Oryctolagus cuniculus: one gene and its partners. The protein of the gene in region 1 interacts with the protein of each later gene in a pairwise test. Links are inferred from orthologs where the notes say so. Each region holds a gene or a part of one and is shown on either strand. Other genes may lie near its edges.

Region 1 (7,607 bases):
ATCGGCACAGCTCCAGCCTTTGCAACCATCTGGGGAGTGAACCAGCGGATGGAAGACCTCTCTCTCTCTCTCTCTCTGCCTCTCCTTCTGTCTCTATGTAACTCTGCCTTTCAAATAAAATAAATAAATATTTTTTAAAAATGTTAGAAGAAAAAAATAGAGAAAATGTTCATGGCTTAAGGCTTGATTGAGTTCTTCAACTGAAATCTCACAGTGTATCCCATAGTAACTTTAAAATAAAATACATGCTATACAAAATGTATATCAAAATTTGAAAACAATTCTTAGACCTGACACCAAAATCATTGTCCATAAAGGAAAAAAATTGAATGATTTGAATAAATTTGATATTTTTGCCTTATAAATATCCTTTTTAAAGGATGTAAAGACCTGTTACAGACTGGGAGAAAATATTTGACAACCATGTATGTAACATAAGAATCATATCTAAATTATATAAAGCACTCTCATAACTCATTGGTTAAAAAAAAAACAAACAATGCAGTTAGAAAATGAACAATACATATGAACAGATTTCACTGAAGAAAATATTCAGGAAGAAGGAAATAGGAAGTTAACAATCAATGGGAGTAAAATCTCACCTAAGCAAGCTGAGTAAATTCTAGAACTCTGCTGTACAATATTACATCTGTATTCAATAACATTGGATGTACACTTAAAAACTGTTAGAGGGTATAGCCATAATAACATTTTATTGCAATAAAATAAAATTATTAAAATAATATATTAAGATAGCAAATAAACCATGTTTAATGCCAGTACTCATTAGGGAAATTCAAATGAAGGCCATGGTGATTTAACCCTACATGCTTAAGGCTAAAACAGAAATATAAAAGTGAGAACATCAAATGCTGATGAGAGGGTAGGCATTTGACCTAATGACTAAGACACTATGTGACATATTTCAGGGCCCAGGTGATACCTAGCTCCACACCTGACTCCATTTTCCTTCTAGTATGGACCCTGGAAGGCAGCAATGATGGCTTAAGTAGTTGGATATGAGAGACCTGGATTGAGTTCCCCACTCTGGGCTTTGGCTCCTGGCCCAGGGGCCAATGGATATATTTGAGTGAACTAGTGGATTGGGGAGTTTGTTCTTTCTCTCATAAATAAATACTTTTCAAGTGCTGGCAAGGATGTTAAGAAATTGGATCACACAAACATTGCCAGTAGAAATGTAAAATGGTAGAGTCACATTTGAAAGTGTTCTGTCGGTTTCTAAAAAAAAACTAAATATATACTTCCCATAAGGCCTAGTAGTAATACTCTTGAGCATTAGTTTAGATAGATGGGAACAAAAACCTGTACATTATTATTTTTGAGCTTTATTTGTAGTAACCATAACCTAGAAAAAAGTAAAATGTCCTACAATAGATGATAAAACTTTCATAGAATGGAATGTATGATAAACCATAATAATACTAAGCAAAACAAATCAATCTAAAAAGGTAATATGCTGAATAATTCCATTTATCTAACAATTTTGAAATGATAAGCTTATAGTGGTAGAGAACAAATTTGTGAATTGAATGTCAGCATTTAGGACAATTGGTAAGGGTTGTTAGTGTGACTTAAAGGGTTTGCATGAGGACTGTCTTATGGTAATGGAACAGTTGTCTACTTGACTGAGATTGTGGCTACACAAATCTGTACTTGTGAAACTATTATTTATATATATATATGCATATATATAATATTAATGTCAACTTGCTAGTTTTAATATTGTATTACAGTTATGTAGGACGTAGTCTTTGGGAAAAACAGGGGGGAGGTACATAGGACCTCTATACAATCTTAGCAACTGCCTAGGAATCTGTAATTATTTCAAAATAAAAATGAATTTTTCACAGTCCTTCTCTGCCAGTAGTTCAAAACAGGAACTTGAGCAAGCTCCTTGACCAGTCATCTTTATAATGGAGCTCCTAAGACCTAACTGATTTCATTATTGTGATGAGTAAATGAGAGAAATAAATGACAAAAGCCACAGAAAATAGTGACAAGGTCTGTACAGGAGTTCACTGTATTTGGGTTAAATGTTTTCTTATATGCCTTTCTCTTTAAAACCTTAAGGAAGGTATATGTATTCCACACTATGCAGAAGTTATTACAGATGCCAAATAAATTCTGATTACTGAATAAGAATAAAAGATAGTTAAAATGTATCAGGCATTCAAAAGCTTTCTTTACCCAGGGCACATTTTTGGTATATTTGGAACTACAGTTATTTTTAGAAACATATGCTTCAGGGTTTCTCAAAGTTGATGAAGCATTAGAGTCACCTGTAAGACACAGAGTGTTGGCTCATACACCAACAGTTTCTGATTTTCCGGGACTTGGGTATACTTGCTTTCTTTAAAGTTCACATGTGATACAGAATAGCCTAGTTTGTGAACTCAAGAACTATACATATGCCTTGTCTAAACATGAGTTTATAGAAAACTCAAAGTACAAGATGTAAAAGAACTTATACTCTGGACAACATTGTCCGTGAAAGTTCAGGGAGATACTTATGCTAATGAGCAGATATGAATCCAAATCAGCCCCAAAACATTTTTTTTCATTTTGTTTTAAGAAACTTTTGCTTATATGCATATCTCTACACTAAGGAGAGAAAATGAGATGGCCCATGGAAATGGTGTTTTTAATCTATTTTTAATCATAGTGATTTACATAAAATTACCTACAATTAAAATTAGACTTCATGTTTTACTTTATATAGAATTTGACAGGCAAAATGGCAGTATTATAATGATGGCATCCTAAATATAAAATTTATAATTGACTATTAATATAAACATTATTGTCTGATTCAATGTGTCATTTTTATATTTATCCTTTATTTATTTCTGTGCCAAGCAATTGAAAGCTTGACATAGAAAAATGAGTCTGTCACTTTAACAAATGGTACTATAAAAACACTCAAACAAATAGTTTTAGTAGGGATTATTATGATAGCAACACGAATATTTTTCTAGAAAGTGTTACCAATGTTTCCTATAAATGTTGGGCTCAGTTGATAAATAAAAATAGTAAGGAAGAAGATGAAGTCTTCCTTTGGCAGTGAATGATTTACAAACATGCTGGATGACACATTGTATTGGATACAGGCAAAAAAAAGGCTCTGTTGAGAAGCATTAAGTGATCATTAGTTAAATGCGTAAGAGAATGATGTTTTAATAATTTGCACCAAAGAAATTTAACAAGGAGTCATTTGTTAGTAAAGAATTCTTATCATAACCACAATTAAAATGCAGCATTTTAAAAGCGGTTTTGTTCCCTTCTAAGTGCTCTTTATTTTAGCAGAAAACTTGTTCCATGAGACTAACACACATTCTGCCTTCAGAACTTAGCTGCTACATTCTGCTGTTGCTTCTCTTATTCAGACTGTTGCAATCATCCATATACAACTTTTGATTGGATCCTGATGGTAAAAATTAACTTTGGTAGACAGTGGATACATAATGAATGCATAGATCATTCTGGGCATACCGTTGTATTCAGTAGAGTGAAGTTTTGGGGGTTCTTGGAGGGGAGAAAGAAAATCATTTAAAAGTTCATTCTGGATCAGAATTTTCAGCTCTGTTGTTTTAGAAATTTATGTAATGTTCTAGAAAATATTGTTATGGTTTGTTACTGAAGGCTTTTTGTCTTCAGAAGGCTTTGAGAGCAAGTACTTTATCCACTGTGCTATTCTGGTTGGATACTGATCACAACACAGTTGAGCATTATTTGAATTCACTGGGCTTTCCATGCTGGGAGCACAACCTTATATGTAGTGTCCATGGGCAGTCCTATTATGGGAAACCAACTTGAGAGAAAAGGCGGGTCACTTGCTTGTGCGCAGGTCCTGGAATGTGAAATATCCAAGGGCCTCTACAGAATCCTGGCATCAGTTACTGCGTTGACTCACTCAGTGTTGGGATCACTCACTTTCTCCTTACAGACTCAGAACTTGGAGGCAATTGCCTTCAGAGAAAAACAAATAGGAAAAACTGAAGTGTTATTTTTTTTGAAAGCTGCTGAAGTTTATTGGCTTCTCGTCATTCCTAAGCCTACTGGAGCAATAAAGTTTGAAGAAATTTTTACCAAGATTTTTATCACAGCCTTGATATATACTTTTTTTCCAAATGCTTTGGTGGGAAGAAGTAGAGGACTGTTGTAAGTACAAAGTAACTAAAAATATCTCTTACTGTGGTGTAACTTTTTGTTTGTGATAATCTCAATGATTAAGCAGGTTGATTTTAAATTATGGCAGCTGCTCGTGAATAATCTTAAATGTTCTATATACTGTATATATATGTATATATACTAAGGTGTATGTACTTCCCATTGGGAAAACTTTCAATAAGAAATGAGGTATATTTGGGTTTTTTTCAATATAGGCAAAAACATCTTTCTTCTTTAAGAAATCACTAGATTAACAGAAAATGTATAACAGGTCTGGAGTATTAGTACAGAGCAGTTGATTTCTGTGAAATAGTTTCTATATATATGAGTTATTATTTTGATTATTTAATACTTGTGTATTTAGTGGTGGTTCCATGTAGAGTAGTGACCTGACATATATTCTCAGTGAATTAACTGCTTTGTTGGAATGATATACAGGCCTAAAGATTAGAATAATGTTATGTGGCATACCTTGGTGGGGGGACAAAGAACAAAATTGCGTTGTGATGGATAAATGACAGATGCGAAAATATTGATAAAGGTTTAATTTCCTTTCTCACATTATATTTAGTGTTTTGAATTCTTTTTTATAGCATGAGAGATTTTTTTTTTTTTCAAATAAGTATGTGATCTACACTGGCAAATGACCAGTCTCTTGATGAGAAAACAACATAAAAACTTGAGGGATGTCTCATCATATTTTGTAGAAAACTGATCGTGTTGTTTCATGACTGTTGTGACCAACTAATTCAGTAAATATTTTTATTAACTTCTTAAAAAAAGAAACTATTTTGTTTATGTTTAAGAAAGTCATGATGACTAATGAAGAATTTAAAAATTAACTATGGCACAACAGTAAAAATGATATATAAGGACACTGTGTCCCAAAGAGGTGGTTGAAGGAGATTATCTTTTTCTTTTCCTGCCTTGACATGTGAATTATGGTCATTCTGAAATAGATATGAAGGTAATGTCTATAATTAACAATGAAAGATTAAATCTCTCCAAATAAGTAATAATATATCACAACTTCTACAAAAAGAGTCAGAAGTTTTGCCACAGAAAATTTGTGAAGTAAATAAGCACCATTCATTTCTTAATTCACATTAGATGGTACTAGATTTCATTAATATGACTTTTTTCATATTGTGTCCTTCAAAAATTTCTGTGGTGAGCATCAGCATCACTTCCTGATTGAAAAACTATTCCATCTAGTAGCATTACAAAAATACACATAGCTACACATGTATACAAATGCATATTTCCCTTGCTATTTCTAGTTCTTTCATATCATTAATCTATCAATATTGTCAAACTTATGATTGATTATCTATAGCTAATAAAATTAAAATACACCAATACATAGAGATATTTGGAAAGTATCACAAATATGCAATTCTGGAATGAAGTAAGATAAATCTATACTCTTCTTTGTCATAGATATTCAAATAACTTTTTAATACATTAGAATTTGAAAAGTTGACCTTAAAAAAAATGCTCCAAAAGGAGCATTTTAAAAACAGCAAGTAATACCTTTGCAACCTGACAATGAGTTTAAGAGAAAATAGAAATATTATCAGGGTTATATTATACATTAATTTTTCTATTTGACAACATGCTATTATTTGAGTGTTTAAACATTTGAATCCACGTTGTAAAATTGCCTTAGTATGAAAAACTTAAAAGAGCACATTTGATTGCTTTTTGACCAAAGTAATGGCCCTTTAAGAATATCACTGTAGTAATACACATATTGTTTGCTTTTAGAATTACTCAAATAATCCATTGGAAACAACTGCTCAAATAATTAATTGCAAATAGACATTTCATTTGAATTTTTAAATGATGCAAAGCATCATGAGATGTAATAAAATCACCTTTTAAAATTTCATTTGCAAAGCCCTCTTAGGGCATTTAACTATGAAAAAGAGGTTGCTGAACTGAATTGATAACATAGTTTTTAAGATAATAATCTTTTGGTGTCTCTTACATGGCATAACATTTTGGAAAATACAATAGAGCATGTTATTTAGATGTTACTCTTTTTTTAAAGGATGACCAACTGAGTTTTGCAAATTTAAGAAAAAAAAATTCTAGTTTGGACAGAGCTATCAATACAGCTTCCTCTTTAGTACTGTAGTATTTATTTGAAATCCTTGTAGTCCACCATATGCTACATGTGAACAAATTGTCAAGTTCTTAACTACTTATGTGATTTAATAAAATAGATTAAAATCTTTGTCTTGGAAAGTCAAGTGCTTTTTAAAATTCTATTTTATCTTTCATCAAGACTTTATCTAAACAGTAAAACAGACTGATATCCTAACCTCTCCCTCAACTTCCAACTTCTACTGTAATATTTTTACTTATTAAAAATAATTTTTCATGTTTTCATCAAACTATTCTTTATTTCACATCTACAAGTTATGTGTGAGTGTGGTGTGAGTATATGTGTTTATATATATGTAAATGCACACAATTTTAAACCACAAAGTTCTAAGTTTCAGAGGCTGAACAATGATTGGAAATTTCTTTCTTTTTAAAAAAAAAATCTATTTACTTATTTGAAAGGCAGAGTGACAGAGAGAAGGAGAGACAGAGAAAGAAAGATACCTTCCATCCACTGGTTCACTCCCTAAAGATCTGCAACTGCCAGGTGTGGGCCAGACCAAAGCCAGGAGCTAGAAACCCCATCCTGCTTTCCTACATCCCAGGTGCATGAGCAGGGAGGTGAATCTGAAGCGAAGCAGCCAGGACTAGAAACTGCACTCCAGTATGGAATGCTGAGGGCACAAGCAGTGGCTTAACCCACTGCACCACAACTCTGGCCCCTAGAAATTGATCTATCTTTAAGGGTAATTTTCTTTTCATGTTTTGGTGATTTTTTTTATGTTAAAGACACATCATTTTTAAATAAATTGACAAATAATGCTAATATATGTCCTCTGTCCAATAGAACATAATTAATCAAGAAGGAACAAATACAGGACTTGGCGGGGGTGAGATTATACAATTTGGAGGGGGATGAGCTGTTTTAAGAAAAATAATAAATAAATTATGAATAGCAAATCAGCTAGGGCCTTGGGAAGGGCCCACATAATTAAAACTTTAATAGTTTCATGGGAAATCACCTATGTTTGAAGAGACTCATGGAGTAAATCTTTTCCCAGTTACATTTTAAAATAAAATTAATACTAGTTATATTTCTTTAAAGCATATATTATTTCTCAAAGACAACCTTTTATTTAATGCAGATTAGAGAGTTGAAAGAATTTATAATGATAGGAATTTGACATTTCTGCCTTTCATTATGAAAATATACATTGATTAAAGTGATGTCAAACTCAGTTAATGGAGGCGGTGCAGTTATTTGAGATATACAGGGTATGCAATTTGAAGCCAAGCCAAATCACAATGAC
Region 2 (7,883 bases), on another chromosome or scaffold:
TGCAGCCAGCAGTCCCTCCTCTCCCGCTGCCCTACTCACTACGCCTGCACTTCTGTTCCCTCACCACCCGCCCCGCACACAACCTGCACACGCCATCACCACTAAAACCAGTCTTAGCTGGTGAGCTCCTGCTTCCCCCGCCCCGGCCCGGGCCTCTCAGACCAGAGCTTCCAGCGTGGCAGAGCACTGTGCAATCCGTACAGCGGGTGCAAGGAGCGCTCGTTCCTGATGAGACCCAACACCAACCACCAGGCTGCGAGGCATGCGGGGGGACGGGTCACTGCTCGGCCCTGGACAGCACGTGGCGTGCAGGGGGACGGGTCACTGCTCGGCCCTGGTCAGCACGTGGCGTGCGGGGGGACGGGTCACTGCTCGGCCCTGGTCAGCACGTGGTGTGCGCGGGGACGGGTCACTGCTCGGCCCTGGTCAGCACGTGGCGTGCGGGGGGGACGGGTCACTGCTCGGCCCTGGTCAGCACGTGGCGTGCGGGGGGACGGGTCACTGCTCAGCCCTGGTCAGCACGTGGTGTGCGCGGGGACGGGTCACTGCTCGGCCGTCAGCACGTGGTGTGCGGGGGGGACGGGTCGCTGCTCGGCCCTGGTCAGCACGTGGCGTGCGGGGGGACGGGTCACTGCTCGGCCCTGGTCAGCACGTGGCGTGCGGGGGGACGGGTCGCTGCTCGGCCCTGGTCAGCACGTGGTGTGCGCGGGGACGGGTCACTGCTCGGCCGTCAGCACGTGGCGTGCGGGGGGACAGGTCGCTGCTCGGCCCTGGTCAGCACGTGGCGTGCGGGGGGACGGGTCACTGCTCGGCCGTCAGCACGTGGCGTGCGGGGGGACAGGTCGCTGCTCGGCCCTGGTCAGCACGTGGCGTGCGGGGGGACAGGTCACTGCTCGGCCCTGGTCAGCACGTGGTGTGGGCGGGGACGGGTCACTGCTCGGCCCTGGTCAGCACGTGGCGTGCGGGGGGACGGGTCACTGCTCGGCCCTGGTCAGCACGTGGCGTGCGGGGGGACGGGTCACTGCTCGGCCGTCAGCACGTGGCATGCGGGGGGACGGGTCACTGCTCAGCCGTCAGCACGTGGCGTGCGGGGGGACGGGTCGCTGCTCGGCCCTGGTCAGCACGTGGCGTGCGGGGGGACTGGTCACTGCTCGGCCCTGGTCAGCACGTGGTGTGTGGGGGGACGGGTCACTGCTCGGACGTCAGCACGTGGCGTGGGGAGGGGACGGGTCACTGCTCGGCCCTGGTCAGCACGTGGCGTGTGGGGGGACGGGTCACTGCTCGGCCCTGGTCAGCACGTGGCGGTGGGGGGACGGGTCGCTGCTCGGCCCTGGTCAGCACGTGGCGTGCGGGGGGACGGGTCACTGCTCGGCCCTGGTCAGCACGTGGCGTGCGGGGGGACGGGTCACTGCTCGGCTCTGGACAGCACGTGGCGTGCGGGGGGACGGGTCACTGCTCGGCCCTGGTCAGCACGTGGCGTGCGGGGGGACGGGTCACTGCTCGGACGTCAGCACGTGGTATGCGGGGGGACGGGTCGCTGCTCGGCCGTCAGGAGTCCTTTACTCTGAGACCTGCTCCAGGACACGCACCAGGACAGCCCCACGCTAACGCCAGCCTCCTCGGGAATGAAGCTACAGCCCAATCTGCACCAAGTTGGCTACGGATTAACCCAGTCTCCAGTGCACACCAAGTCCCGAGAGCCACGGCCGCGGTCCTCGGCACAGGCGGGATGCCCGGAGCACCTGCGTGCCCGTTCCTGGCACAGCCTCACCGGGCCCCGCCCTTGGAACCCTGAGCAGGGACTGTGGGCAGCGAGGATTCCTGCAGACGCTGAAACGCGAACGCGAGGACGCGAGCAGGCCCCTTGGACACCGGCTCCCCGCGCTCGGCCGACCCTGTTGTCCCAGCGTGCCCGCCGTCTGCCAGACCAACAAGGCGGCAGAGTGCATCTCAGCACTGGGCTGGGACACGCAGGCCAGCAGGCGACTGGGAGCAGGCAACCCACCCCACTCAGCCCGTCCTGGCCTCCATAACCCGCCCCACACAGCCCGTCCTGGCCTCCATAACCCGCCCCACACAGCCCGTCCTGGCCTCCATAACCCACAAAACACAGCCCGTCCTGGCCCCCGTGACCCACCCCACACAACCCGTCCTGGCCCCCATGACCCACCCCACACAGCCCGTCCTGGCCTCCGTGACCCACCCCACACAGCCCGTCCTGGCCTCCGTGACCCACCCCACACAGCCTGTCCTGGCCTCCATAACCCACAACACACAGCCCGTCCTGGCCCCCGGGACCCACAACACACAGCCCGTCCTGGCCTCCATAACCCGCCCCACACAGCCTCCTGGCCTCCGGAGTCGGGTCCCTCTTCCCGCCGCGGGCAGCGCCCTCTTCCCAACCCGGCGGTCACCAGCCACCTCCCCCCGCAGCTCTGCACTTCAGGGAGCAGCAGGACGAACAGCAGACCAGAGTGGAGGGCTCAGTGCCCCCACCCAGGCCTCCGGGCAGGGAACAGCACCTGCCACCTCCCCAGGGAAGGCGGCGCAGCACCCTGCCTCCATGCCATGGGGCTCCCCCACAGCCGGCCCCTTCCCCAGACACCGTCCAGGCCAGGCCCTGGGGACGCAGGCGGGCTCCCGGCTGGTGACACGCGCTGGCACACTTACAAGCTAAGGTAAAGTCTGTGCAGGTCGGGCGGCCGAGCTGTTGAGTGAGCTGAGGGCCCCCAATGGTCACACCGCCCCAGAGTCCACCTGCTTCCTAGCCCCAGAGCACTCCAGTTCCCAAGGGCCCTCGGTGCGCCATGGAAACAGCACCCCCACCCCGGCCCCACCCCCGCGCTGCCACACACCTGACGGTTGCCAGGAGCCATCCCAGACTCCCTGAGCAGGGAGCCTGCGCCGGGGACTTCTGGGCGCTCAACTCACCGCGGCCGGACCGAGCCCGCACCCACACCCACACCCACACCAGCCTCACTCGAAGGCGGCCGGCGGAGCAGCGCTAACCGCCACCCGCAGGGCTCCGCCCCTGGCGGCTGCAGCGTGGGGATCCTAACACCCTGACTCCGGTCTCCACGGGCCCCGGGGCAGGGCGCGGTCCCAGCCACAGCCCGGCCCGCACCGGGGAGGGCGCGGTCACGGCCCCGGCCCGGCCCCAGCCCGGGCCCGCACCGGGGAAGGCGCAGTCACGGCCCCAGCCCGGCCCCGCACCGGGGAAGGCGCGGTCACAGCCCGGCCCCGCACCGGGGAAGGCGCGGTCACAGCCCCAGCCCCAGCCCCGCACCGGGGAAGGCGCGGTCACGGCTCGCCCCGCACCGGGGAAGGCGCGGTCACGGCCCCAGCCCGGCCCGCACCGGGGAAGGCGCGGTCACAGCCCCAGCCCGGCCCGCACCGGGGAAGGCGCGGTCACAGCCCGGCCCCGCACCGGGGACGGCGCGGTCACGGCTCGCCCCGCACCGGGGAAGGCGCGGTCCCAGCTCGCCCCGCACCGGGGAAGGCGCGGTCACGGCTCGCCCCGCACCGGGGAAGGCGCGGTCACGGCTCGCCCCGCACCGGGGAAGGCGCGGTCCCAGCTCGCCCCGCACCGGGGACGGCGCGGTCCCACTCGCCCCGCACAGGGCGCCCAGGGGCCGCAGTCCCGGCAGGGGCCGCCGCGGCTCGCCCACGCCCCGCCTCCCGGCCCCGACGCAGGCCCGGGTCTCGGCCCCCCCGGCCACCGGGCCCCGGCGGCGCCCACCTCCGTGATGATGTCGTGCAGGTAGCGGAACGGGGGCTTGTTGAGCAGCTTCTCCGTCAGCGGCGGCCTCCGGATCACCTTCCCCAGCGCCTCCTGCGTCCGCCGCACCACCGCGGCGTTCATGGCGCCGCCCGCCGCGCGTCCGGCCGCCCGCGCCCCTCAGGCGGCCCGGCCGAGCCTCAGCCCGGCTCCCTGGCCCCGCCGGCCCCGCCGCCCGGTGCCGCCGCGACGCGCAGCGCGGGTCCCCATCCCACAGTGCACCGGGCCCGCCACGGCGCCTGCGCGGAGGCCGCGGCGCGCCCGGTCGCTAGGGCGGCGCGGCCTTGGCAACGAACGCCCGCGCGCGGGACGCCGGGAAGCGGGGTCTGTCCAGCGGCCGGCGGCGGGGCCGCGTCCGCGGTGACCGTCCGAGGAAGGCGCTCCACACCGGGCCTCTCAGCTCCCGAGCGCTTTCGCCGGCTCTGGCTCGTGGGCGGAGCCAGGACGCGGTTATCCCGAAAGCCGCGCGGCGGGCAGTGCCCTGTCCTGCGCGGTCCTTGGCCGGTTTTCCCTCAGACCTCCACCCTGCCGCCGCCGCCACGCATCCCGCGGGGCAGGTGGGCAGCGAACGGGGCCCCGGGCTCGCCCCGCGGCGGCTGCGGGCTCCGGGGTCTGTGTGGAGCCTCTACCTTGGTCTGCCATTCTGCGTGTGCACCTGCACGTCCCCGGGGCGGGCACGGGGCGGGACTGCCCGGTTCCAGTCCGGCTCCCTGCTGATGTCCACCTTGGGCGGCGGCAGGGGACGGCCCGGTGCCCGGGTCCCTGCTGTCCGCGTGGGAGACCCGGATGGAGCCATTGCGGGCGTATGCGGGTGAGCCAGTGAATGGAGAGACCGAATAATGTATCTTTTAAAGTTTCACCTGGTGTCCGTGTGCCAGAAACGGCAGGTGCGCGTGGGCCGGAGGCCCAGGAGAAGCGGGATCGTGCAAGCTGATGGACACAGCCAGGCTGGCCCCGGGAGCTGATGGAGCCTGGGAAATTGGTTGTAAGTCTCCGCGGTGCCGGGGCAGCAAGTGTCCGTGAGGCTCGTGCGGGTTTCCGCTTCCCCGCGCCCTTTCGATGGAAGCATCCTGGCCTGCTGTTGGTGACGTGGGCAGGCAGACAGGAGAAAATCGGCTAGTTGGCGAGCTGGAAGACCACGTCTTCACACCCCTGTGAGCTCACCCCTTCCTGCCCCCACCTGTGCGCCCACTGCCACTCAGGCTACGTGACCACGCGCCTTTGGAAGTGGCTAAAAGGCCCGGAGCTCGCTGGGCCCTTCCTTTGTTGGCCGTTGCCTTCGGGGCGCGTGCCCGTTCCCGGGGCTGGCTCCTGGCCTGCTCTCTGCTTGCTGTGGACACAACTTAGCCTCTAGACGTCTGCTCTCCGAAATGAAGCCCTCACCCTCCTGCACATTTCTCTCACTGAATAAAATCCTTAAAACTTACCCTGTTGTCTGGTCTATTTGGGCCCATATTCAGAATTCTCTGAACACAGGGCAAGAGCCCACAGCTTATTCATATTGAAAAATTATTAATATTGAAAAATATTAATAAGCAGGGCAGTGTCATTGGGAGAACCCCGTCTCATATTTCTCTTTGCACGGCTCCGCTGGCAATGGGTGCGCCTGTGTTTGCTTGTCTGGAAGTCTGGGTGGACAGTCCCCCAGTGGGGAGCAGTCACCCAGACTGTCCACCCAGGGCGGGCCCGTGGAGCCTTCACACGCCCTCCCGCGTCTCCGAGCTTCTCCCTGTCGGCCCCCTGCAGCCACTCCAAGGATTCTCTCCAGGAATGGCCCAGCAGCGCAGGATTCTGGGCTGGCGGTTTCTTCTTTGACTCTGTGCCTTCAGCACATGCTGCGTTGGCTTTTGGCTTCCATGGTTTCTGGATAGAAGTCTGCCGTCATTCTTATTCCCGTTTTTCTGTTATGCTTCTGGTTGCCTTCAAGATTCTGTTTTTATCATTGATTTGCCAGACATTTCCCATTTTGTGGAGATTTTTCCCTAACATGTATATTTGATTATTATTTACTTGCATACATAATTATTTACATATATAAATTTTTGATAGTTTTTTTAAATAATGTTACCACTACCACAATCAAAAAAAGAAACAGCCCTTGACCCCTGAAAACATTTCTTCCTGCTCATGTGTAGTTCGACTCCTTGACCCCCAACCCCAAGCAACTGGTTTCTGTCATAATTTTGCATTTTCCAGAGTTTCATTTAAATGGAATTATAAATTGCATAGTCTTTTTTGGATTTTACTCCTTTTCTTATAATGTTTTTGAAATGTATCCGTGTTCTTACATATATTCCTGCACCATGCCTTTTTGTGACTGAGTTGTACTTCATAACTCATAGCACTTTGTCCACTAACCTGTGGATGAACATTTAAATTGCTTTCAGTTTTTGGTTGTTAATGAATAAGGCTGCTATGACTTCACATACAAGTCTTTGCATCAATATAAATGTTCATTTCTCTTGAACTGGAAGAATATGTTTTATATCATGTTTTTTAAAATCTTTTACTTACTGGAGAGATGGAATAGCATCTATCCTCTAATTCACTCCCCAAATGCCCGAAACAGCCGGAGCTGGGTTGAGGTTGAAGCTGGGAGCTGGAGACACAGTGTGGGTGGCAGGAATCAAATGACTGAGTCGTCACCGAGGTCTCAGGATCTGCCTTAGCGGAAAGCTGGGGCCGGGGCAGGACTCAAGCCCGGGTTCCCCGACATGGGACACAGGCTCCCTGACCACCGGGCTGAACACCCACGCCTGCCCTTGTTTTCAAAGTGGCTGCGCCTGTACCCCTTCACACCACTTGTATAGGAAATGCCCAGTGGTGGGGCCGGTGCTGCGCAGTGGCCTGCGGTGCTGCCTACCATGTGGGTGCTGGTTTGTGCACTGGCTGCTCCTCTTCCAATCCAGCTCCCTGCTAACAGCCTGGAAAAAGCAGCAGAAGATGGCCCAAGTGCTTGGACCCCTGCTGCCCGCCCGGGAGACCCAGACAAAACCCTGGCTCCTGGCTTTGACCTGGCCCAGCGCTGTCTATTGCAGCCATCTGGGGAGTGAACCAGTGGATGGAAGATATCTCTCTCTCTCTCTCTCTCTCTCTCTCTCTCTCTCTCTCTCTCTATATATATATATATATATATATATATATATATATATAAATAAGTAAACCTTTAGGGGGAGAAAAGTCCAGGTGTTTGCTGTCCCTGCCGACATCTGGTATTGCCAGTCTACCTTTAGTTGTAACAGTGAGTGTGCTAGGTGGCTATGGTGGCTATGGTGGCTATGGTGGCTATGGTGGCTATGGTGTCTCGTTATGGCTTAATTAGCTTTCCTCCAGTGATCATTGGGTTTTTTGTTCATAATTGAAATTTATTGGTGCTGAGAATCAATATACAGACATTTCAATTTGTACACAATTCTTCATATACATAGCAAAAATATAAAACCAGCATTGCCATTCTGTGGGCCAGCACTGTGGCTCACTTGGCTAATCCTCCGCCTGCAGCACCGGCACTCGGGGTTCTAGTCTCGGTTGGGGCGCTGGCGCTGGTTCTTTTTTTTTTTTTTTTTTTTTTTGACAGGCAGAGTGGACAGTGAGAGAGAGATACAGAGAGAAAGGTCTTCCTTTTGCCGTTGGTTCACCCTCCAATGGCCGCTGCGGTCGATGTGCTGCAGCCGGCGCACCGCGCTGATCCGATGGCAGGAGCCAGGTGCTTCTCCTGGTCTCCCATGGGGTGCAGGGCCCAAGGAATTGGGCCATCCTCCACTGCACTCCCTGGCCACAGCAGAGAGATGGCCTGGAAGAGGGGCAACCGGGACAGAATCCGGCGCCCCGACCAGGACTAGAACCCGGTGTGCCGGCGCCACAGGCGGAGGATTAGCCTAGTGAGCCGTGGCGCCGGCCTAGCGCTGGTTCTGTCCCGGTGGCTCCTCTTCCAGGCCAGCTCTCTGCTGTGGCCCGGGAGGGCAGTGGAGGATGGCCCAAGCGCCTGGGCCTTGCACCGGCATGGGAGACCAGGAGGAAGCACCTGGCTCCTGGCTTCAGATTGGCGCAGGGCCGGCCGTGGCGGCCATTTGGGGAGTGAACCAACAGAAGGAAGACCTTTCTC
Region 3 (7,640 bases), on another chromosome or scaffold:
TTAGAGCAGAGTAGCTTAGGTGTGTTATCCAGAGTTTATAGGGAAAAACCCCTTAGGATTGTCCATATCCTGGACTTGACCTTGCAGGCTCTTCTGGAGGGTCTCCCAAAAACCCTTGCAAGAGTATTAACGCAATAGGACTCTGAGGGCACATTCCACAGTGGAAGTAACCTCTGGCAGCATACTCCCAAATGCGAGTTTCAGCAAAGAACAAATACCTATTTTATCAGTTTCTCATCTTTACACATTGTACTATCAACATAGATTTCATTTTTTAAACTTATTAATGAGAACCTGTAGAAGATAGAGTGTCTGAAGCCACTGAGCAGTTATTTTTTGATAGTTTAGAAACAACAGACTTCTAAATCAAGATGTTCCTTCTGTCTACTGGGGTCACAAAACTTCTGTACCAGACTGGGCTGCTTTATAATTAAGAGAGCCTATCATTTTCTAGAGAAGGAAACAAATTCGTAGGTTCCAGTGGCTTGTCTGACACACAGCCAGTTAGTAACAGAATTCAGAGTAGAGTGCAGGTCTTTCCTCTCTTGGCTGGCTGTTCCACTTCTCTTTACTTTTCCTCACAATTGAGCAGCTTTTGGCAAAATGTGTTTCTTATAGCAGTAGTTCTAAGAAATGTTCATGGATGTAAGAGGAAATAATGTGTGTGGGGGCGGGCAGGGATTCCATGATAAAATTGCAGAATGCTGGGTTTGTTTCTGTAGCACTTCTAGGAGTTTCTGACTTGCTGTTATACCTGGAGAATTTTTAAGAGGGGACAAAGACTTTGTTGATTTAGATGGGTGCCCCTCCTCCTCCTTTTCTCAGAGCATCTCAAAATGCTACAGGTCCTCTGGGAAACCTGGCTGTTCATCAGGTTTACAGCTCTCTTAGAAGACATCCCTAATGGAACTTCTCAAAGGTGTGAATTTACTACTGAGCTACGTGTAATCTGTAGTAAGTCTCAGAGTTTCGTAAGATACCAGAAAGTATGTTTCCTGTTCAGAACTATACTTTAAGAAGTATAGAGATTGTTTTCCACCTATGGTATGTAAAATCAGTATTTGTGTTTAGTTTTGCAAGTTTCTCAAGGAAACTTAGTGTGCAGATACAGTGGTGATATATTGACACCACATTTTAGTAATGCTTTTGTACGGCACTTTATACTTCTCAGACTTTTTCTGGTGACAACCCTCTGTGATAGGCAGTATTATTCTCATCGTACAGATGAGGCACTGGAGGCTCTGAAAGTGTATTTTTGTGATTTTTTTTTTCTCCCAAATTTATACAACAAAATGATGGGGCCAGAATTTGCAGAACTTCTGACTCCAGGTCCAAAGTTCTTTGCTCCTCACTTGGCTTCTTATTATCTAACTTTGTGTTTTTCAAAGGCATGGAGGCAGATCTTAGAGGAAAATCATTTTGGCTTATTACCAAACATCATTTTTTTCAGTAGTGCAGTGACCCAGAAAGTGTAACTCTTGTTGTAGCTGTCCCAAAGAAAACTCTTCTTTGTCCTTTGTAATGGCACTTGATTAAGTGATTGGCATGTATTTCAAATACCATTTGGTTTTAAAACCAAAATTGGATATGCCCTTGTAATTTCTTATGTACCTCTTTGAAAATCTATCGTCTCTATATACTCAGGCAAAAAAGACATGGTTTAAAAATGAAAAAGAATATTCCAATACAACCATAAATATTCCTACACAGAATACTGTTTCTTAGCTTTAACTTGCTTTGACAACCTACTAATGTAACTTCTTTGTAAATGTAAAGTATTTATATTTTGAAATAAAATTACTGGTGTCGAATGAATCAGGTGGTAAACAGTCTTTTCTCTGTTGAGAAACGTGATCTGTAGCCAAACTTCGATGAATACATTCATCTGTCCCTTACCTTTTCCTCTTGATGCCTGCACTGAATTTTTATGGAGTATATTCCACTTCTGTAAGCCATGGTGTGTCTGGGGAGTGAATGCTGAGTATCTTAAAGAGGCCAGCAGGTCCATGGCTGAAGCGGAAGCCCTCAATGCACGGGCAGCAGGAGCCTTGGGGGGAAGGATGTGCTCAGGTGGATGACTGAGGACTAAGAATTGGAGGAAAGTTGAATTAAGGATAAGCAAGCCTCAGTGTGGCTATCTTCAGGACCAAAGCTACCCATGCAGCTCTGGGGGGTGAAACTGAGCTGCCAAATGGAAGCACCACAAAGCACGTTTCGCCAATTTCAAAGAGCTTAGTGACACCTCGCGTGGACAGTCACCAGCTCAATCAATTTGAAAGTAACGACATAGACATGATCTTGCCAAGGTGTTAGGGTGGGCCAGCCACTCTCAGCCTGCTGTCTGCTCTGATGGGTTCTCATTGGCAGATACAGAACTTCACAAAACATTTCTTCAGGTTTCTGCCCCTTGCATAAGTCTAGGACTCCTTCACAAGGCACATGCTTCTGACACCTTCCTTTTCACTTGGCTCCTGGAAACCCACGTAAGCTCAGGGTTGTGCTTGGAGAACACAGATTCCTAGCCTGGCTGGTGAGTTCAGTCAGAAATAAACACTTGGGGACCGGTGCCATGGTGCAGTAGGTTAATCCTGCGGCACTGGCATCCCATGTAGACACCAGTTCTAGTCCCGGCTGCTCCACTTCCAATCCAGCTCTCTGCTATAACCTGGGAAAGCAGTAGAAATGGCCCAAGTCCTTGGGCCACTGCACCTGCGTGGGAGACTGGGAAGAAGCTCCTGGCTCCTGGCTTTGGATCAGTGCAGCTCCAATCGTTGCGGCCATCTGCAGAGTGAACCAACAGAAGGAAGACCTTTCTGTCTGTCTCTCCCTCTCAAAGTCTGTAACTCTACCTCTCAAATGAATAAAATCTTAAAAAAAAAAAGCAGTCCTTTAAAAAAAAGAATAGACACGATGTTTCCATTCAATGAACAGTTATTAAGAAACTGCCTCCGTGAAAAGTAGTTTCAAAAAGTAGTATTGTTGAACAGTAGTTTTATTTTAAATTCACTTTAATTTAAATTCCCTTTTAAAGAGTTAAGTCTAAGCAGCAGCCTGAAAGATACACTGTCTTCTTGAGTACCCAGACATTCCTTGAGTGAGTGCATTATCAAATGTTTCATTTTCAACCCAGCTCAAAGTGTGTTGTGAGAAATGTGCTTAGAAAATGAGCCGGGGGTAGAGGAGAATGGAGCTTCTGGAGAAGCCCCAGGAAAATCGTCCAGATTCCCGCCTGGGACCCCGCAGACCTGACTGCTATGCGGGTTCAACCCCAGTGCAGCTTCCAGAACATTGCGGAAATTCAGATTAATTTAGGAAGAGTCACCTTTCCAGACCAAGAGGTAACTTGACAGGGATGGCTGTTCTTGTCCAGGTGAGAGGCCCGTAGCCAGGTGTCATCTTTTCTCTCCCTACCCTGGCGACAGGTGCTCTGAGCCTCCCCTAGGGTAGAGAGAGGGGCCACAGGGCCTGTGGTGGAGCCATAAGGCTAACAGACCCGGGTCCTGGAGAGCGACCCTAGAAGCAGCACGCAGGGGCGTGGCGGGGCCGGGTAGGCGGGGTGGGAGGGCCCTGGTGGGCGGTGTGGAGGTGGGGGCGGGGCCTCGGGTGGAGGGTAGACGGGATTGGGCCGAATGTGGGCGGGGCCTTCTTGGGTGTGGTGGGCGGGCCTGAGGCAGGGGCGGGGCTTCAGGGCGGGGCCTCGGGTGGCGCGGGTGCGCTGCGGCTGACGGGCGTGCTGGCGGCCAGAGGGCCAGCGGTGGCGCGGAGTCCGGGTTGCGCGTTGCGCCGAGGACCATGGCCGCCTCTCCTGGGTCCGCCGGCCTTGGCGGCGCCGGAGCTGTCCACGGCTCTAGCCCGTCGGGCTTCGCCTTCGACTCGGGACTCGAGATCAAAACGCGCTCGGTGGAGCAGACGCTGCTCCCGTTGGTTTCTCAGGTGAGTGGCGCGCGCCCGAGCGGCTCCTGGTCTCCCTCCCGCCGCGGCCCGCTATGGCGGCGGCTGCTCCCACGACCCGGCCCCCCGGCATCCCGCGTCGGCGCTGCGGCGTGGGTGTCGGTCCCTGGAACCAGGGTGCGGACCTCGCCGAGGCGCAGGGGGAATGGGCCCTCCGAGACTCGGCGGCGGCGTGACCCAGCGCGTGGAGAGCGGGGGCTGTGGGGTGGCGGGGAGAGCCCAGCAGGTGCGCTGCCCGCCCTGGGCCCCGGCGCCCATCTGCGCCGGCCGAGGACGCTGCTTCGCGGGGCGAGCGGCACAGTCCAGCGCAGGGACCCCAGCGTCCTCCTAGTGGCCGCTCCCCAGCCCACTGTCGTCGCCCGTTCGCATCTCCAGTTGGAACCCGGAGGGCCGGCTAGCGGCCAGGGCACTGCCGCCGGCCTCTCAGTGCCGCGCGCTCTCCTGAGGCCTTTGTCCCTCTCTCCGCCTGTACTGGCTCCTGCAGCTCCGATTCACCGGTTCCCGGCCCAGGCCCCTGCCCCTTAACCTGCCTGCCCACGTGTGTCTGCTTTTGTCCGGCCACGAAGTGAGTCCAGATGCCTTTTCCCAACGACCCATCTGGGGCCGTGTGAATTATTGCACTTACCTGTAGTAACTCCAGAGCGGGAACCAGCTCACTGGCCAGCTTCGTTTTGGAAAGTTTTTGTTACTTCATGCTGGGTTGTTCACAGCCCGAGGGCTGGGATTCCTCACCTGGATGCAGGAGGTGCCTGGCAAGCACTGTGGGGAGGTAAGAATGCAGCGCCTGCAGCAGGCGCTGGCCTTGCGTGACTCACACCTTTGTAACTCTTGGTTGACTCACACTAGGATTTTCAAGATTGTAGAGCCAAGAGGAATCTTGAATGAGCTGACTCTAAATTAAAAGATTCTTTGATGCGGCATCTTTGACACCTGGCCACCAATACTCTGCTTCAACATGGTCAGTGATGGGGAGCCTAGAACTGTTCCACAGAAGAGCCCAGCCCGGCAGATGATCGATTGATCGATCGATCCATCCATCCATCCTGGAAATATATATCTATAGCTGTACCTATATAGATAGGTTTATATTTAAATAGCAGTCATACAGGTCCCTTGATTCCTGTTATGCTGATTAAATAAGCAGCCCCATTTTCTCCACCTGCCTAGCATGGCTAACAGAGCAGTGTTGAGTGCCCCTACCCCCTGCCTATGTTTCTGAGAGAGACTCCCCTCCCCAGCAGTGGAGAGGAGTGTTGTGGTCCCTAAGTGTTGTCTCCTCTGCCCCTCCTCTCCCAAGAACCACCAGCAGAACAACCACCATCCAACACAGAACTGCTGGAACAGTTTTAAGAGACAAGGAAGACAGCAATAGAGTTCAGGTTTACAGCATTTAACTTGCTTATTTAATAGTCCATGTGCTAGACCATGTTCTGAGCACTTTGTAAATATAAACTCTTTAACACTCAGTAACCCTGTGATGTTACTATGAAGGGTCTTCAGAAATTTCATGGAAAATGGATTTTGAAGAAAACTGATTTCAAAAATGTTTTACACCAAAAGACTCATCTGAAAAAAATTAATTTGAGAGGCAGAGAGATGAGAGAGAATGTGTGTGAGATAGAGACCAACTGACAGACTAAGAGACCTCCCATCCACGGATTCGCTTCCCAAATACCTACAAAGGTCATGGCTGGACTGGGGCTAGGGATAGGGCTCCCACAGGGATGACCTGAACCCAATTACATGGGCTATTACTGCTGCCTCCTCGGGTCTGCAGTACCAGGAAACTAGAGTCAGGAGCCTGGACCAGGAATTGAATTCAGGAAATGTGATATGGAACGTAGGTGTCTTTTTTTTTTAAGATTTTATTTATTTACTTGAAAGAATTACAGAGAGGCGGGGGGGGGGGGGGAGGGAGATCTTCCACCATTGGTTCACTCCCCAAATGGCCGCAACAGCTGGAGCTGAGCCGATCCAGAGCTGGGAACTTCTTTCTTGTCTCCCACATGGGTACAGAGGCCCAAGCACTTGGGCCATCTTCTACTGCTTTCCCAGGCCACAGCAGAGAGCTGGATTGGAAGTGGAGCAGCTGGGACTCGAACCAGAGCCCATATGGGATGCTGGTGCTGCAGGCAGTGGCTTTACCCTCTATGCCACAGCACCACCCCGAAATATAGGTATCTTAACTGGCATCTGAAATGCCAGACCAAATACCTACTCCAACCTATCTTTTCTTTTTTGTACATTTTTTTGAAGTACCATCATATGTTTATTCTCTATGATATGGATGATGGCTAAGTATCTTTTTAAAGTGGTATTTGAACCCAGGCAGTCTGTCCCAGAGTCCGTTCTCTGAGTTACACTGTACATGTATATTCTATGTCTCCTCTAGGGGTTAAAAGCAGTTATGAGGTCATCTAGTAGTAGGTACAGAGAGGAGTTTGCACGGTGGAAAAATATGCTGAAAAGTTGCAATCTGGAGAATGGTAACTTTTTATGCTTTCACTGCTAAAAATGTATCAGTCCTGAAGCTCTGCATTATGTAATTCTGGAGCAAAAGAGGGTGGGGAGAGTAGGAAACCCCAGGAAGAAAAGTGTAAGTCCTTGCTGTAAGTTTACTAGAGGTCAATGCCAAAGGGGGAAAATAGCCACCCCCTTAAGCTCTTGTTCAGGGGCACAGCGAAGGTTCTGCACTCATACCTTATGTATCCATGACTGTATCTCTAATGCAATACCATAACTGATATTCCTAATGACTGACTGTACTTAAAAAGAAAAAGAAATTTTGCCTACAATCAAGAACCGTATAAAATATAGTCAGAATATTCTGTTACCAAAGCAGGGATATGTTGCATATAATCTGTTAGGACTTTAAAACTGCAGCTCTGGAAAGCCCATGTGTTCAGAAGGCTCATTTTCTAAGGCTGCTACATCATTGTACAACTGCTCCTCTTTCACCGTTTCATCACTAGGGTTGCCTAAGGATTTTAAGCAAGGATTTTATGCTCATGAGTTGTTGTCCTTTGAGGGGCTTATATTCTAGTTGGTAGAGAGGATGTGTATAGAGTAACTCATGCCAAGTATCAAATGAATATCATCAATAATAAGTGCTATAAGATCTCACGAAAGCCATGGATGAGTCAGGAATGATACCACAGAGAAGGCAGGGTCCTCCTCCTCCTCTTCTTCTTTCTCCTCCTCCCCTCCTCCTCTCCTGTCCTCCTCCTCCTTCCCCCTTCTCCCTCCCCTCCCCTTCCCCTCCCCCTCCCCCTCCTATTTTAAGATTTATTTATTTACTTGAAAGTCTCCATATGGCTTCAATGGCCAGTGCTGAGCCAGGCTGAAGCCAGGAGCTTCATCTAGGTCTCTCACATGGGTAGCAGGGGCCCAAACACTTGGGCCATCTTCTCTTCCTTTCTCAGGCCATTAGCAAGGAGCTGTATCAGAAGCAAAGTATCCAGGACTCCAAGAATATCTACAGAAAACTATCAGTTAACACCATTGCAACAGACAAGTTTAAATATTTCTCATAAACTCAGAAGCAAGAGCAGGATGCCTGCCTTTACAGCTTCTGTTTAACGTTGTACTAGAAATCCTAGCCAGAGCAATAAGACAAGGAGAAGAAATAAAAGTGTAAAGATAGGAGATGAAAAATTAGAAGTCTCATTGTGATGTAATCTGTATAGAAA

What was found. The genes of interacting proteins can lie anywhere in the genome.
Region 2: the proteins of DMD (region 1) and TRAF3IP1 interact in a two-hybrid assay, tested with the Homo sapiens proteins (2 studies listed by BioGRID and IntAct). The link is inferred for Oryctolagus cuniculus from reciprocal best matches to the Homo sapiens genes DMD and TRAF3IP1.
Region 3: the proteins of DMD (region 1) and CTNNAL1 interact in binary tests that used the Homo sapiens proteins (3 or more experiments, as listed by UniProt). The two-hybrid records come from large-scale screens. The link is inferred for Oryctolagus cuniculus from reciprocal best matches to the Homo sapiens genes DMD and CTNNAL1.

Annotation. Positions count from the first base shown.
Region 1 is NC_091453.1:19,806,800-19,814,406, reverse strand, and holds the start of DMD (dystrophin), read left to right. Parts: upstream 1-3,362; 5' UTR 3,363-4,148; coding exon 4,149-4,179; intron 4,180-7,607. UniProt on the Homo sapiens protein: Anchors the extracellular matrix to the cytoskeleton via F-actin. Ligand for dystroglycan.
Region 2 is NC_091434.1:2,097,828-2,105,710, forward strand, and holds the start of TRAF3IP1 (TRAF3-interacting protein 1), read right to left. Parts: upstream 3,980-7,883; 5' UTR 3,863-3,979; coding exon 3,740-3,862; intron 1-3,739.
Region 3 is NC_091432.1:212,714,552-212,722,191, reverse strand, and holds the start of CTNNAL1 (alpha-catulin), read left to right. Parts: upstream 1-3,661; 5' UTR 3,662-3,792; coding exon 3,793-3,933; intron 3,934-7,640. UniProt on the Homo sapiens protein: May modulate the Rho pathway signaling by providing a scaffold for the Lbc Rho guanine nucleotide exchange factor (ARHGEF1).